Linked DNA regions of Oreochromis niloticus. The protein of the gene in region 2 purifies or fractionates together with the protein of the main gene of each other region. This does not show direct contact. Links are inferred from orthologs where the notes say so. Each region holds a gene or a part of one and is shown on either strand. Other genes may lie near its edges.

Region 1 (7,997 bases), on a different chromosome or scaffold from region 2:
AACGATAAAACGGACATTCCATGTGCACTTACATCTTTGATCTCGGTGTCTTTGTGTGTTCCGTGAAACTAGTCAATTCTAGTTGGTGAGCATTTTCTGCCTGGCTTCTGGAGGTTTTGTCAGAAGAGAAACAACGACTGCCCTGCTGTTAGATGGAGCGCCATTCATTTTTATTCAGTTCAATTCAGTTTCATTTCTATGGCGCCAATTCACAAGAAACAGTGACCTCGAAGCGGTTTATGTTGTAAAGACCCTACAATATTAGAAAGAAAAGAAAAACCAAGCAATCATTCGACCCCCTCTTGTTGATGGTGGGAAGAAAAAACTCACTTTTAATAGGAAGAAACCTCCAGAACCAGGCTCAGGGAGGGGCAGCCATCTGCTGTAGCCGGTTGGGTTGATGTTACAAAAGGCACACTTTGGTACAGAGAGCCAGAGTTTAACATTTACTAAAGATTTTATGCTGCTTGGATTTTGAAAAAGTGTTTCAAACATTAGCAAATATCTGAAACTCTGTGTTATCAGATAAAATGTTTATATGAAACAATAAGGATTTGTTGAGTGCTGCATCTATACTGCTGCATTCAACCTAGCATGATCTACCCACACTGTTGAAAGCTCTTGCACAAATTTGCTGCACAAATAGAAGAAAACACTGAAAATTTACATTTTGACTTAAAGCGATCTTTAGAATTCAGGCAATAACACTGTAATCCCAAACCACTAATTAAAAAGATGATAGAAAGCCACTTCCTCCTAATGTTCCTCTAATTCTGTTGCACATTACATCCAGTTACCAGTTGGTAAATTTAAGAGCGATATTATTTAAAATAAGCAGTAAATTCACCTTAAAATTATCCATCCATCCATTCTCTTATGCTTCTCCAATTCATCATGGGGAGGGGGGAGTAAATGGTAAATGGTAAATGGCCTGTATTTATATAGCACCTTACTAGTCCCTAAGGACCCCAAAGCGCTTTACATATCCAGTCATTCACCCATTCACGCACACATTCACACACTGGTGATGGCAAGCTACGTTGTAGCCACAGCCACCCTGGGGCGCACTGACAGAGGCGAGGCTGCCGGACACTGGCGCCACCGGGCCCTCTGACCACCACCAGTAGGCAACGGGTGAAGTGTCTTGCCCAAGGACACAACGACCGAGACTGTCCAAGCTGGGGCTCGAACCGGCAACCTTCCGATTACAAGGCGAACTCCCAACTCTTGAGCCACGATCGCAGGATGTACCGTAGGGTACATCCTGCACAGACAGCCAAACTGTTGCAGGAATAACATACTTTAACATTATATAAAGATGATATATAAGCAAAATGGCTTTTTTATCTCGTAGTTTCCAAACTAAAAGGCTTAAAACAAGACAAGCATATAGAGAAAAGGCCATATACGCGCGATATTAAAAAGGAAAACAAACACACCCAGATTATAATAAAGAAGCATAAAAAAGATAACAAATCGTGCTCAGTTGTGAAACTCTAAAAAGGTCCATTGCTCAAAGATTTCATGGTGTAATTACACAAAAGGGGGTGAGAGCCAGAAAAATACAGAGAGAACACTTTACAAGCTAATTAATACAGTAAAGTCAATGTAAAAGTCTTTTCAAGGATTTCCTTTCTAATACCATGAAACATGATATTTACGGTGTGAGTGTTGTGAATGTGTGCTGACTTTGAGGTTGATACCGATTTGCAAACTGGAGAGAAGTACAACTGACAGAAGCAAACCGAGAGTGCACGTGTACTGTGAAAACACATTTGTAATTATAAATTAGATGTGCTTGTCTCTTTTTTGTGAACCTATATTATTGACTGTAGGATGGTCAAATTCATAGTAACACAACTTTAAACACACACACATACAAAACAGGCCCTGAGGCTGTTGATCGGCTGGGGTTATCCCACAAAACCATTTCTAGGGTTTATAGAGAAGTTTCTAAAAAAAAAAAACATCCAGTGAGCAGCAGTTCTCTAGATGAAAATGTCTTCTTGATTACAAAGGATCAAGGCAGAATTGGAGACTGTTTTGAGCTGACAGGAAGGCAACAGTACCTCCAATAAACATTTGTTACAACTAAGGTATGCAGAAGAGCATGCACAACATGTTGAACCTTGAAGAAGATGTGCCACAGCAGCAGAAGACCGCAAAAGCTGCCACTCTTGTCAGGTAAGAACAGGAAACTGAGGCTATAGTTCACACAGGCTCAACAAAAATGGACAATGGCAGACTGAAAAAATGTAAACTGGTCTGATCGGTCATCATTTGGATGGTAGGATCAAAATCTGGCATGCAAGCATGCATCCATCCTACTTTGTATCAGTGATTCAGCTTGATGCACTGGTGAGAGGGATATTTTCTTGGCACACTTTGGGCCCCTTGTGTCCACCTGTGTATTGTTGCTGACCATGTGCATCCCTTTATGACCATCTTCTGAAGAATGCTTCTAAGAGGATAACGAGTCACAAAGCTCAAATCACCCAAATCTGTTTTTCTCAACATGAGTTCATTGTATTGAGAAAGCCTGTGCATTCACCAAATCTCAGCCCAGTAGAACACATTTGGGATGTGATGGATTGGAAAATTCACATCATGGATGTGATGCTGACAAACTGCAACAACTGTGTGACGCTATCGTGTCAATATGGACCAAAATCTCTGAAGAGTGTTTCCAGCACCTTGTTGAATCTATATCATGAACAATTAAAAGCAAAAAGGGCTCCGGTCCAACCTTGTAGTGGAAAGACATAACTAATGAAGTGGCATTGATGCAGAGGGATTGAATCTTCCCATTTCCTGAACATAGGGAGCCAGGGATACCCCTTCATGGAAAACATTACTAAGAAATAAAATGAAAGGGCTGTAAAGACAATGGGAAATTCTGTGCATCTTTCCTTTGTGATTTTGTATTCTTTTAGTACCATATCACCCCATTAGGGCTCTTCGCTCTCAGACTGCTGGTTTACTTGTTGTTCCTAGAGTATTTAAAGGTAGAATGGGAGGCAGAGCCTTCAGCTTTCAGGCCCTTCTTCAGCTTCCAATTTGGATTTGGAAGACAGACACTATCTCTACTTTTAAGATTAGGCTTAAAACTTTCCATTTGATAAAGCATATCAGGTGAATCAGGTGACCCTGAATCCTCCCTTAGTTATGCTGCAATAGGTGTAGGCTCCTGGGGGATTCCCATGATGCACTGAATGTTTCTTCTTCAGTCACCTTTTTCACTCACTGTGTTTAAACACATCTTTGTATTCAATTATCATTAATCTCTGGCTCTTTTCCACATCATGTCTTTGTCCTGTCTTCATCCATTTACCTTCAACCGGTCGCAGCAGATTGGTGCCCCTCCTTGAGCATTGTTCTACTGGGGGTTTCTTCCTGATAAAAGCTAGTTTTTCCTTCCCACTGTTGCCAAAGCGCTTGCTCATAGGGGGTCATATGATTGTTGCTGAAAGACAGCAGTGAATAATTGGACAAGAGTCAGAGTGACAGGAGGGTTTTTGCAAAGAGGCATACCTGTTCATTCTGCAAATTCAGCATAGACACTGCTGTGTAGTTGTATGTACCTTTGTTAACTCAATATGGCAATTTCAGTAGCTCTTTTTCTTTTGTTGTTGTTGTTTTTTTGTTTTGTTTTTTACACAAAAACAGTTTTTTCAGTTATACTGATATGCTTTAAAACCACCAACAGTGGGACGACTGTAATAACAGTCAACTACAGTTGTGATCACAAGTCCAGAATGTCACAGCAAGACTAAGAAAAGGGGGAAAAGTTGGACAGAATGCAACATTTTGTACAGGTAGACAGGTAGAACAATGGCTACTCTGTGAGCTTTCTGACTACAAAAGATATTGAAGTTCGAGAGAATGGTTAGATTATCATTATTTTCATTATTATCATTATTATTACAAAGAAGAAGGGACCAATAAAGTTACATTATCTTTCTCAAATCAAAGGTAGCTGTAATTCACTGAGACTAGTCTGTAAGACCGAGTGATGTTAAATGCAATGCTGCCTCTGTGTGGTGTTGAGGGTTAATTACTCAAACGTGCTCTTCATGTTGCCCTGGGAATCAGCCGGCTGGCTCCAGGATTCAATTGTGCAACAGAAAAACAATGTATGAATATTTACATTTAAAATTATCTACAATGTAAAAGTGGTAACTTAATGGCGATTAAAAAGAGGTTCATTCACTGCAGAAAAAAAAGCCTAAATATTATTATTATTATCATTTTAAATCTACCAAAAAGGCAACAAACACCTATTGCTTACATCCTTCCTGTGTGTAGTCATCCATGCAAAGGCAAACTCTGAGCATGGAAAACCCCTGCATAGAGGGGTTTTTTTATTTTTAAGTTTTATTTAAATGTATACAGTTACATGAAATACATGTACTAAAACTGGACTGAACTACTATGTATACCCCCACTTTGAAGTATTTAGATTATACTATACTATACTAGTTGGGAACTATCACTGTTCACTGTGTAGCGTGTACCTCGTGGTGGACTACACGTGGTTGATAGTTTGGCAACCGTGCCGAACCACGTGGCCATGTAAACAGCTGTATGGTATATGTGACAATAAGCTGTATATGGTTTATGTAGCGTTAAGTCCGGGAAATTGCCGAAAATAGTTTTCTTTAACATTTTAACTGTAAACATCTATAACTATACGTATATTAAAAACAAAACCATGATAATAATAATAATGATATAATAACAATGTAAATAATACATGTTCATGTTAAATACAGACTGTCATAACATTGACTTTAAAGGTTAAACACGGTAGATTTGACAGTGCTGCCTAGTATTTTTGTCATGTATTTAGTGATATAGTGAGACGAGAATAGTTATACAGTATTTCCTTGGAGTAGTAAAATTCAATGTTTCCTGTATGTGGGGTGAGGCGCGGGCACGACGCAAATACATTAGCTTGTGATTGGTAGAGACAGTCATGTGGGCGGGTCGGCGAGAGCGCGCGAAGAAGGGGAGTACAGAGCGAGTCTTCGTCGTCTCTGTCTTTCCTGTCCAATGTCCCATCGAGTAGGCAGGTCCACGTGCATACATTAGCTATTCTTTTTTAAATTCATCTTCAGACGTCCAGCTTCTCGTGTTTTATTGAAACACACAACAGCACAATGGTGAAGTTAGCAAAGGTAAGATTACGTCATTCTATTTTAAAATAGTGCGTGCGTTTGTGATAGAAAGAGGGCTTGTGTTTACGCACGAGGCCTTTAAGCAGAAGTTGGTGCGTTTGTTAAAAAACGGGGGGTGAACTCGCGGAAAAAGAAAATGTCCGCTCAGGTAAAGCTGCGATTGTCGCCTCTTTTTTTTTTTTTTTTTTTTTTTTTTTTTAAATTAATCAACATGGTGGTGGTGTTGCCGCATTTACTACGCCTTTTTCGTTTGCGATCAGCCATGTTTGTGCCTCGCTTTTGGCTCTCTGGCCTGCTAAGCTAAACTGCTGCTTAGTGTGGATTTCGTGCGCGCTCTCGATTTAAGTATGGCGTATAAAAAGACTTAAACAAAATCAATTTATAGCCAGCCTGCCAACCTGTACCAACATTTGTTAGAAAACTATTGTAAAAACCGAAAATTTGAGCACGCGGCTAGCTTAACAACTAGCATTAGCGTATTCATACCCGGACTTGATTCTAATTTCCTTCATTTTGTGGAAATAATGGTAGTTCTCGGTGTTAAGTTTAAACTGTCCCACTTAAACACTTTCTGTCATGTAATGGACTTTCTGGATAACTGTTCGGCATATGTTTATATATATATAATTCTTTTTTTAATGCTTGTCAGCAAATGGTAAAATTACCCAGCATGCTAGCTGACCGACCTCTAGAGCTCCACGTGGGTTCTGCGCCTGCTCTGAGTGACACACGAGGCAAGCAACCAAAACCGAGAAAATCCATCGGCGAGCTCATGTGTAATTTGAGTGGCTTATTTTAAACTCACGTGACCGTTTGCCGTTGATGATTTAAATATTGTACCAGCAGCACGGCTCTCCTGTTTTATATTTTAACCGTGGAATTCCACGTGGCCTAAAGCCCCTCATGTTTGCGGACATGCTGCAGCGGGTGCCATGATTGTTAGACCCTCTTCTTTACCGGAATCTATGCTTGGCTACTTGTAGGCTCCATTATTGTTGGGTTTTAAAAACATTGGTAATAACAGTTTTTGCATTTTGGGATTTCTTTTGAAGGCAGCAAATAAGCAAGCAGCTCAGAAGAAAAAGGCCCCTCCACCCCCCAAAGAAGTGGAGGAGGAATCCAGCGAAGAGGACAGCAGTGATGAGGAAGAAGAGGTACATAGACTTTGACTCAAGTATTTTATGGCTAGAAAAAAATATTTAAAATGTGGTATTAAGTGTTTTTATTTTTGTATTTTTTTTTTTTTTTAATACTGCAGGCTCCACCACCTAAAGCGGTGAAGAAAGCCACACCAGCCAAAGGCACCAAAGTTGTTGGAAATGGCACTCCTGCCAAAAAAGCAGAAAGTGAAGATGATGATTCTGGTAAGTAATAAAGGACCAAAACGAAACTAATTGAATGATACTCATATTTCACATAACTCACATAATCAATTGGGCTTTAATATATAGAGATTGACCTATTGTGTGTGTTTTGGTGTTTAAGGATCATCCAAATGTTAGAAAGTGAGTCCCTCGAACTTTGAGCGATGCCTGATGCATTTAATAGTTATAAATGTGTTGCTTTTGACATTTTAGTTACAACAGTGAAACAGATGGTCTTTAGAAAGAAAACCTTCGAAGTTATGAAAGCTGCTGTTTCCATTTAACTGGTGAATGTGTCGTGTTGTCCAAATTTATAATATACGTTCTTGATCTAAATAAATAGGGTAAAACTTCACACTGTACATCATTCTTAAAGTAAGCATAATATTGCCTAAGACAATTTTGCTATTTATCATATATAGATGAATCATCAGAGGAGGAGGCCCCCCCACCAAAGAAGACACCTGCAAAGGCAACTCCAGCCAAAAAAGCACCAGCTAAGGCAGCTGCTGCAAAAGCAGAGGAGTCAGATGATGACGATGATGATGAGGAGGATGGTAAGGCTTTTGGTATTGTGTGACTGATAGTAATTACTGTTGTACTGTGTTTTTAACAAAACTGTTGATGGCTTCATTTTAATCTGATCCAAGCATTTGTGCTAACAATCTGATGATGTAATGCGTCCCAAAACATCCTCCATTTCTTGGCATGCATGTGGTTGTTTAGTACTCATGTGTGTAATGTACGGAGGAAAAACAAAGACAGCGCTATGTCTTCGGTACCGGTGTGTATTTGACTGTCTGCCGGTCCTATCCTCAATCGCTGTTACAACCTAATGCCCTGTTTTGAACTCTGAAGAGGTTTTGTTGAAAATTTTCTGCAATTAAAACGAAAGCTCGTGTTTTTCTTGTCTAGATGAGTCTGAAGAAGAGGCCCCACCACCCAAGAAGGCAGCCAAGCCAGCTGCTAAGCCTGCAGCAAAGCCCCCAGTGAAGGCTCAGCCTGCAAAGGAGTCCTCTGATGATGACGACGACGATGATGATGACGAGTCAGAAGAGGAAGCCCCTCCCCCCAAGAAGGCTACTCCAGCAAAGCCAGCTGCCAAGGCTGCAAAGGCTCAGCCTGCTAAAGAAGAGTCATCTGAAGAAGATGATGATGAAGACGATGATGGTAAGACTGAGCCTCGCATTTCTCTTTTTTGTTTTTAACAGGAGCCATTGTCTTTGAAAATAGTTAACACTGTATGATGATCAACAAGGGACTTAATACTGATCACGTATGATGTCACCTTTTGAACTATCTGACCCACAGTAATACTCGTTTTCAATGCATTTGAATTCGGCCACAGTTACTGTGAGATTCACGTCATTGGCAATGATTCTGCTTTTTAGACTCTGAAGAGGAAATGGACACTACTCCTGCTCCAGCAGCCACCAAGGCAAAGAAAGCAGGCATG
Region 2 (7,665 bases):
ATATTATAAAATGTCATGTAACATGGGAGAGAATCAATGAGTCAAAAAGCTGAGTGAGAAAAGTAAAACAACACACAAACCTCAGGAGAACAGTGTGTCATTGAGAAGGTGGAGATACTGAGGTGTAATCACAGAGAGTGGATCTAAAACCACCTTAGGGTAGGGACAACTGCAGCCACAGATGCAAATATCAGTGTATATACAGCAAATAACATTGTCCTCAAACTTAGGAAAGCTCTGTATTTTGGAGCTGTGTGCAGTCCATTCTTGGCTTTACAGGCCCTTTGAATAACTTCCCCAGCTGTAAGATCGGACTCAGTCCATCTGTGGTTTGAATATGATTAATATGGACCTCCATATCAATCCAGATGCATGTACGAAAGGTATATTGTACCAAAAAATGTAGAAGAAGAGCTCATAGTCCCTTAAGGCAAATCCTGCCAAAAAGCAGAGAGCAAAGTCCAGTCTGCTGAGCAGCCCGCCAGTCTCTAAGAGCGATTCTTCATCTTCTTGCGCACAGACTTGCCTGGACGTTTCTGGGAGTCAAAGAGAAAGAAATTATTTGTTTTTTTATTGACTGATTTGAATAAAACTGTCAATGGCTAACTGTGTGTGTGAGAGACTCACATTTTGTTTTCCTCCTTTCCCCTTCTTCCCTCCCTTGCCGTGAGCTATTTTGGCACGGAAACCGGAAACATCGTTGTAGCTTTCCTTGGTGTTCCACTTCTTTCCACTCTTTTTGCCTCCAAAGCCAAACTTCTGGTCCTTGTATTTTCTCTTAGCGCTGGGCCTGTAGAAAAAAAAAGAAGGGAAATTGTGAATTTCATTTTAAAAATACCACAAATCTGAAGTGGGAGCAAAGAAAAAAATAAGCAATGACTGCTGTGTGCACTGCTGTTCAAACTTACCCCTTTTTGTTCACTGCTTTCTTTGAGCCCTGAGAAGATTCTTTATTCATCTTCTGGTCACCTTCCAAGAATTCCAGTTTGTCGGTCATTCCTAGAAAGAGAAGATGTTGTTCTCAGTGCTCAATAAGTGATGCACCCACAGTGGTATAGTGACAAAACGATAAAAGAAATAAGGAAATAACGTCCATGCTACACTTGTAAACACCCACCCTTCTGGTATTTCTTTACAGCGGACATCATGGCCTTCTTCTCCTGCTGTCTCTTCTGGATCACTTCTATTTGGACCTGGCAAAAAATTCAAAATTAGAGTCAGTCTTTTAGCCATGTACAGTCGAAGTATCATACACATATAACATTTACAGGTGTTAAGAAGAATTTCTAAACTCAGTCACCAACCTTTTTGCCAAACTTCCTTTGCTCACGCAGTTTCTTGGCCTTTTCTGACCTCTCCATAATCATCTGCTTTGAGATCAGCTTTTTCCTGATCTGAACAGACCAACACATGAAAAGGTATATGAATATAAGCCTGACAGAACAAAAGAACAACTAAACTCAGGTCCTGAACCAGTAGGTGCAAAGAAATGTTAATTACTTTACTATCTGGGTGAGAACTAATACTTAGATTCCAACATCACTGTAATTATGTGTTTCAGGTTTTATGGAACATGTAAGGAGAAAAAAAAAAGCAAACAGCTGATGCTTTGCTGGTTTAATGTAATGAAATACAGTTTGAGCTTTAAACATATTTGTCAAAACTGAACCTGCATCATTATAAAGGAGACCAGGCTCACCTTCTGCATATGCTGATCAGATTTGGCCATCTCTGCAAAGTAGTCTTCGGGCCTCTTGGTGGCTATGCTGTGCCTGTTTAGAAGTGGCATTGCCTCGAGGATTGTAGCCTGAGCTTGACGGTAGCTGTAAATTAACAAAAAACACCAAAGAATTGGAATGGTCTCTTTGTAGCTGTGTTGTATTTTTGCAGCATTTTTTTTTAGGCTATTCTCTAAAACATTCAACACTGTATGCATGTTTGTAACTCTTTAGCTGAAAAAAGTGATTTCTTTGTCTGACTCGTAACCAAACTATATTAGTGTGGTTACAAAATACAAGCATATGTGATGCTTTAAATAAAACTGAGCTAAATTAACAGTCACGTACAAGAACATCTCCCTCTGGAAATCATCATCAGCATCCAGTTCTCCAGCGGCTGGCGCTGAAGCTTTCTCTTCAGCTTGAGAAATTATATTTGCAGCTGGTAGGTTGGTCAGATCCAATCTCTCCACCCAGGGAAGATCTTTACGAAAATCAGCAAGACACTGTTTCAACCCCTCCTGTGTGACAACATAGGATCAATAAAGGTACAACAAGTAACAATATTATTATATTCACTTTACAGGGAATTTCGAGAACCGTTCCATTGCTGCTTTAAAACTATTACAGTGGTATGGTTGTTTATAGTACGTTGATCATCCCTGTGTAGCATAACTTGCTACTAACAGAAGATGTGAGATGCCACTCACCACATTGTTGACTAACTTTTTCGGTTTATCCACCAGAACGTTCATCCCAGGCTTCAACAACCCCGCTGCGAAGGCTTCTTGCAGCTGGGCAATGAAATGAAGATGAATAATATTAACTCTGACTTATCTAAACCACCACTTGCTACAGCAAGACTACACGGTCCTACTAAACGTGAACTTTCGTGCTATCTAAAAAGCTTGATTAGAAAAATAAAGATTCCGACACTGATAATAGTACCAGGTCTCTGTTTGTTTGATTAACTTTATAAACAGCAGGCACAGTGACGTTTAAAACCCTAATACTTAATAGGAATGTGGTTAGCTAACGATGCTAGCATGTTAGGAAACTGACCTCATCGTCCGATAATTCACTGTTTTCCTCCTCTGAATCCTGACCGAGCAGCGCCTCTTCCTCTACGAACGCCATAGTCTTGCTGCCGATAACCATGAGATGACTATATGCGAACTATCAATATTAAAACGTAAAATACGCCTCGGATATACAGTGCTCCTCACATGGAGTATAAGGAGCCTTTCACGTGGAGCGGAAGTGACGCCTCTGAACGTCCTACCTATTCAGTTCGCCGGGGGATAAAAAGTGTAAAAATAATCGTTCCTACCCGGAAAAAATTCCAACGCAGAAAAAGTAAATAAATAAATAAAAAATAAAAAATACAGAAGTAAATAACGTTTAAGTCACACTATCCGATAACTCAATGTCCGATTCGCTCGTTGAAGAGTTTCTGATGCAACTTTAGTCACGTATCATCTTATTTCATTGAAATCTCCGCTTTTCATATAGATAAAAATGTTGTTTTGAATTCCATTCCAGTCTTTAAATTTGATTTAACATATAAAATAAAATGCCTTGGGTGGTTTACGAAAACCAATGACTGTATAAAAGTCTACGGTCTTTGACGAAAACACGTTTCCGTTACGTCTAGTGTGTAATATCAAATAAGTCCTCTTAGAGGAGATGTTGTACACCTGCGCAGACTGGAAAGTACAGTGGATGGGTCGATATGAGAACTTTACAGTCTAACGTCAATTTAGAGATTCTACTTTAAATCTTTTCCTATTGTGTAAAGGAAGACTCAGGATTTTCACTTGCCACCTCATCAAGACAGAAACTATCGACATTTCTTTTCCATTACTCAATTCCTGAGTCGATTTCTGTCACTTTGACATGGCACGACTGAGAAAAATGTCTGCGTTTTTGGCCCAGTGTCACTGTCAATGAACATTTTGTCTGTGGGGAAAATCAGGACAGCCCAAAATCTGGTGCTCTGAGTAAAGTTTGTTTCTGCATTCATTAGACATTCAAAATTAAATAAATTCTTTTATTGTTTATTTCTTGGGATGTAGCCTGTGTGTGTCTTTAACATACAGATCTCTGCCTGTGATCCTTTCCTCTTTAGTCATGCTACCCAAGGAACTTTTTTCTTTAAACTCTCCAGTGCACATCACACACATTTTGATTAGCACCCGAGAGAAACCAGTGGATATGCCGTATGCAAAGGCCATCAGCATTGAAATGTCCAAAACCGAAGAGTACTTCCAATGGGAGTCACAATCATTCACTTTAATGTTAGCGAAGGACAGTTTGTGTTCATCTTATGTGGTCACGTAGCAGTTGTAGAGTGAAGGGCTTGCAGTTAGAACCAGAGTGCGTATGTGCTGAATGCTAATGGTGTGCTTTGCCTGTGACCATGGAAGTAAGTTGATCTTACTCAAAATGTCACTTGAAAGGGATTCATCTCAAGTGGTCAAGCAAGGATCTCAACCATACCAAGGGCAAGGCGAAGAGCTGACATTCTTTAAAGTGTGCATACTAAAACTAAGACTTAGTCTAAGAGATAATTTACCCTTTCGGGTGGTGAGGAGTAAAACACTCCTAAATGCAATTAATGGTTAGCTGTGTTATGTTTATGCTGCTAAACAGATATGGTTTTCTTTGGAAGACAAGGTAATTGCAAACCTTTATTATAGCCACATAGCAAAGAAACAGATAATCAATAATCACCCAGAAAGTAAAGCAGAATCAGACAGACAGTATCTTTGCCTTTTTTCATTGTTTTATGTGGTCTCCAGGTTTCTCAGTGTGAATGTAACTTAAAGAAAAATATAAGACATATCCCTATATTGAAACTGTTTTGTGTGGTCATTACCTGGGTGGTTGCTGGTGTCCTATCTTATGCACTGTGCATCAGAACTGCTAACTGAACAAAACAGCACATAGCATCTTTGATCTTCGCTTTCATACGCCATTCAAATAACTAAAAAACATCAAAAGATATTGAATCTGGAACTAATGCAGTATTTTAATATTTTGCCTATTTTATCCTAACTTTTTTTCTCTTTACATGACACTGCTGCTCTTATCTATGTTACTGAAAGTTAAATTCATTATCTCTTTGAAGGTTGCATTTGAGATTGACTAATAGCAACATGAACAGCTTTCTTCTTAATAAGCGGCTCGTTTTCACGACACCTGGACTACAAAAGTGATCCAACTTTACAGGCTTACTGACATTACTTTGATTTGTCAGGAAAGCTCAGAGTAGTCTTGCAGAAATGTGTTAGAATAACAGTTGTAATAATTAGAACATACAGTGATGGTGAAAAGACACAGTTAATAAAACGTCATCTGGTCCTTACCCAGTCTTAAAATTAAGTAAATGCAACCTTGGACAGACAACAACACCTGATATATTACACTGAGCCAAAATGCAGAAGAAATGTGTTAAAAACTGAGTAGAGCCAATTGTTTAATAGCTTGTAGACCTGTAACTTGAAGTTATAATTTCCGGAGTGACTATATGTCTCTCACATTGTAACAAAGAAATTTTGGCTCACCTGTCTTACAAGGCTGCTTCAGTTCATTGAGGTTTGTGGGCATTTATGCACAGCTGTCTTTTGGTCCAGCTAGAGCATTTCTATCAGTTTGAAGTCTGGACTTTGGCTGGACCATTGCAACACCTTGATTCTTTTCTTTTTCAGTAATTCTGTTGTAGATTTGCTGCTGTGCTTGAGGTTGTTCTTCTGTTGACCCAAGCTTGAGCTGTCAGACAGATGACCTCATGTGTGACTTTAGAATATTTTATTATACAGAGAAGCTCGTGGTTGACTCAATGACTACAAGGTGTCCAGGGCCTGTTGCTGCAAAACAAGCCTAAATCTTCACCCCATGAGGTGTTTGTGCTGATATGCTGTGTTTGGCTTTCTTCTATCCAAACGCCACCTTTTTGGCCTCATCTATCCAAAATACATTGTTTTAGACATTTTGTGGTTTGTTCGGACTTTGCAAACCTAAGCAATGGTGCCATGTTCTGTTTAGAGAGAAGAGCCATACTTGTGCCATTTGCTGATTGTTTTTCCATGAACTTTAACATTTAAGATGCTGACTGATGCTTGTAGAGTCTGAGATGTAGACTTTGGCTCTTTCAGGTTTTCTGAGCATTGCACAGTCTGACCTTGGGATGAATTTGCTGGCAAATCCACTCCTGAAAAGATTGGTAGCTGTCATGAATGTGTCATGTTTTCCACTTGTGAATAATCTTTCTCACTGCAGAATGATAGACTTCAAATTGTTTGGAAATGGCCCTTAACCATTTCTAGATTGATGGGGAGCAACAGTTGCTTCTTCAAGATTGTTGCTGATGTCTTTCTTCCTTGGCACGGTGCTAATTCACCTGACTGCTTCAGGTCAGAAAACTGCCAAAGCTTTCAAAGAGGTGGTCACACTTTCTTATGACTCAAGTGCATTTGATTATCAGCACCTGGCTGCTACTTACTATCTTCATTCCTATGGAAGCAGTACTGGTGGACAGATTATATTTACTACACTGGAATTTAAAGAGAGTTCACTTTATATTTCTTACCATGACTGTAGATGTAATAATTAGCAGTAACAAACTGATTTCTATGTACACTGATGATGAAGAATGATCTTTTCATGTCACTTTAGCATATTAATGAGACATTTAGTTTGGTATTAAACCATGCAAATTTTGTTTATTTCACAGCTCAGCAGGTTAGAGAAGTTTCGCTATCACTAATACCAGATGGGCAGGATAGGAAGTAGACTGGGGACTTCTGTGCTGACAGCCGCTGTTCATTTGAGATGTCATCGGCCTCTTTCAGTGTTTTATCCTCCTAGTCCTCAAAGCAGAGGCTGTCTGAGCCCCCCTGAGAGTGACATTCATTCTATTCTGATGGAAATCGATTTCTACAATTTGAACATCACCACCCTTAATTCTTCCATTCTCTGCATGGTCAGAGCCCTGCTCTGAGACATCTTCAAAAGGAGAAAAAAACCCCCCATAATTTACATTTCTGTCATTGTAATCGCTTGAGCCAGACAGAAATGCGGTCTATTAAATTCCCATTCTGCTGTCACTCTTCATATCAGGGCAACAGACTGCTTCCTGACACCAGATTGAAAATAAGTTGGATTCACTCTGTCAAGCTCCTCTTTTGGAGTTATTCCTGGTTGCTGGAGGATTGGACAAAAAAACAATAATACAGTCATGAATGTCTGGGCCTAAGATGGCTGAGTGCTTCAGCTCCTATGGCTCTCAATCAGCCTAAGGAGATTTAGGGATGTGCAAGTAAACAACACTGGATGAATTACTGGGAAAAGTATTTTAGGTCATTTTGTCTTGATCTGTCCTTTCTTGAGTGGATATCCATTCCTTCTCCATCCATCAAAACATCTGTGAGTTGACTGCTAAAGAGTCGGCCTATACCCATGTATTACTCTAGCCACACAGTAGCCATATTCTGTTGTCTGTCAACCATGAGGAGATGTATTAAGCAGGTAGCATGTGTGACCTCCAAGGAATGGGCTTACATCTATAATGTTGCCAGTCTTTTCAAGATCAAATATTATTACTACAAAGCTAAATTTGAGGATGATGCCATGGCTCATGTTGTGCTTTTTGTTGTGCCATACCCCCAGTAAAGAAAACAGCAGCCCTGTGGCATTTGTGAAGTCCTATTTAGACACTACGGCGATCGCTAATATCAGTGTGTTCATATTTCCAGGCAGAGTTTTTACCATGTTCACCAGATGCTTTTGCCTTCTCTTCCTGTGCCCCGGGCATTTTTGACTTTTGGAAGTTACATTCTGATTTGAGTTTACTTTCTCTAAAAATCTCTTTTATATTTATTGTTTGTTGTTGCTCATTTCTCATATTTTCTGTTTGCACTTTCTTCCCACCCTTACCATTTGAGAC

The links.
Region 1: the proteins of ebna1bp2 (region 2) and ncl purify together in Homo sapiens (affinity purification with mass spectrometry; 3 studies listed by BioGRID and IntAct, with this or other methods). This does not show direct contact. The link is inferred for Oreochromis niloticus from reciprocal best matches to the Homo sapiens genes EBNA1BP2 and NCL.

What each region holds. Positions count from the first base shown.
Region 1 is NC_031980.2:34,362,937-34,370,933, forward strand, and holds the start of ncl (nucleolin), read left to right. Parts: upstream 1-4,991; 5' UTR 4,992-5,159; coding exon 5,160-5,177; intron 5,178-6,229; coding exon 6,230-6,331; intron 6,332-6,435; coding exon 6,436-6,541; intron 6,542-6,963; coding exon 6,964-7,098; intron 7,099-7,234; exon of another isoform or gene 7,235-7,374; intron 7,375-7,456; coding exon 7,457-7,711; intron 7,712-7,932; coding exon 7,933-7,997. UniProt on the Homo sapiens protein: Nucleolin is the major nucleolar protein of growing eukaryotic cells. It is found associated with intranucleolar chromatin and pre-ribosomal particles. It induces chromatin decondensation by binding to histone H1.
Region 2 is NC_031981.2:33,035,929-33,043,593, reverse strand, and holds ebna1bp2 (putative rRNA-processing protein EBP2), read right to left. Parts: upstream 3,011-7,665; 5' UTR 2,877-3,010; coding exon 2,781-2,876; intron 2,513-2,780; coding exon 2,429-2,512; intron 2,240-2,428; coding exon 2,067-2,239; intron 1,824-2,066; coding exon 1,700-1,823; intron 1,395-1,699; coding exon 1,305-1,394; intron 1,194-1,304; coding exon 1,118-1,193; intron 1,000-1,117; coding exon 909-999; intron 791-908; coding exon 628-790; intron 537-627; coding exon 489-536; 3' UTR 199-488; downstream 1-198. UniProt on the Homo sapiens protein: Required for the processing of the 27S pre-rRNA.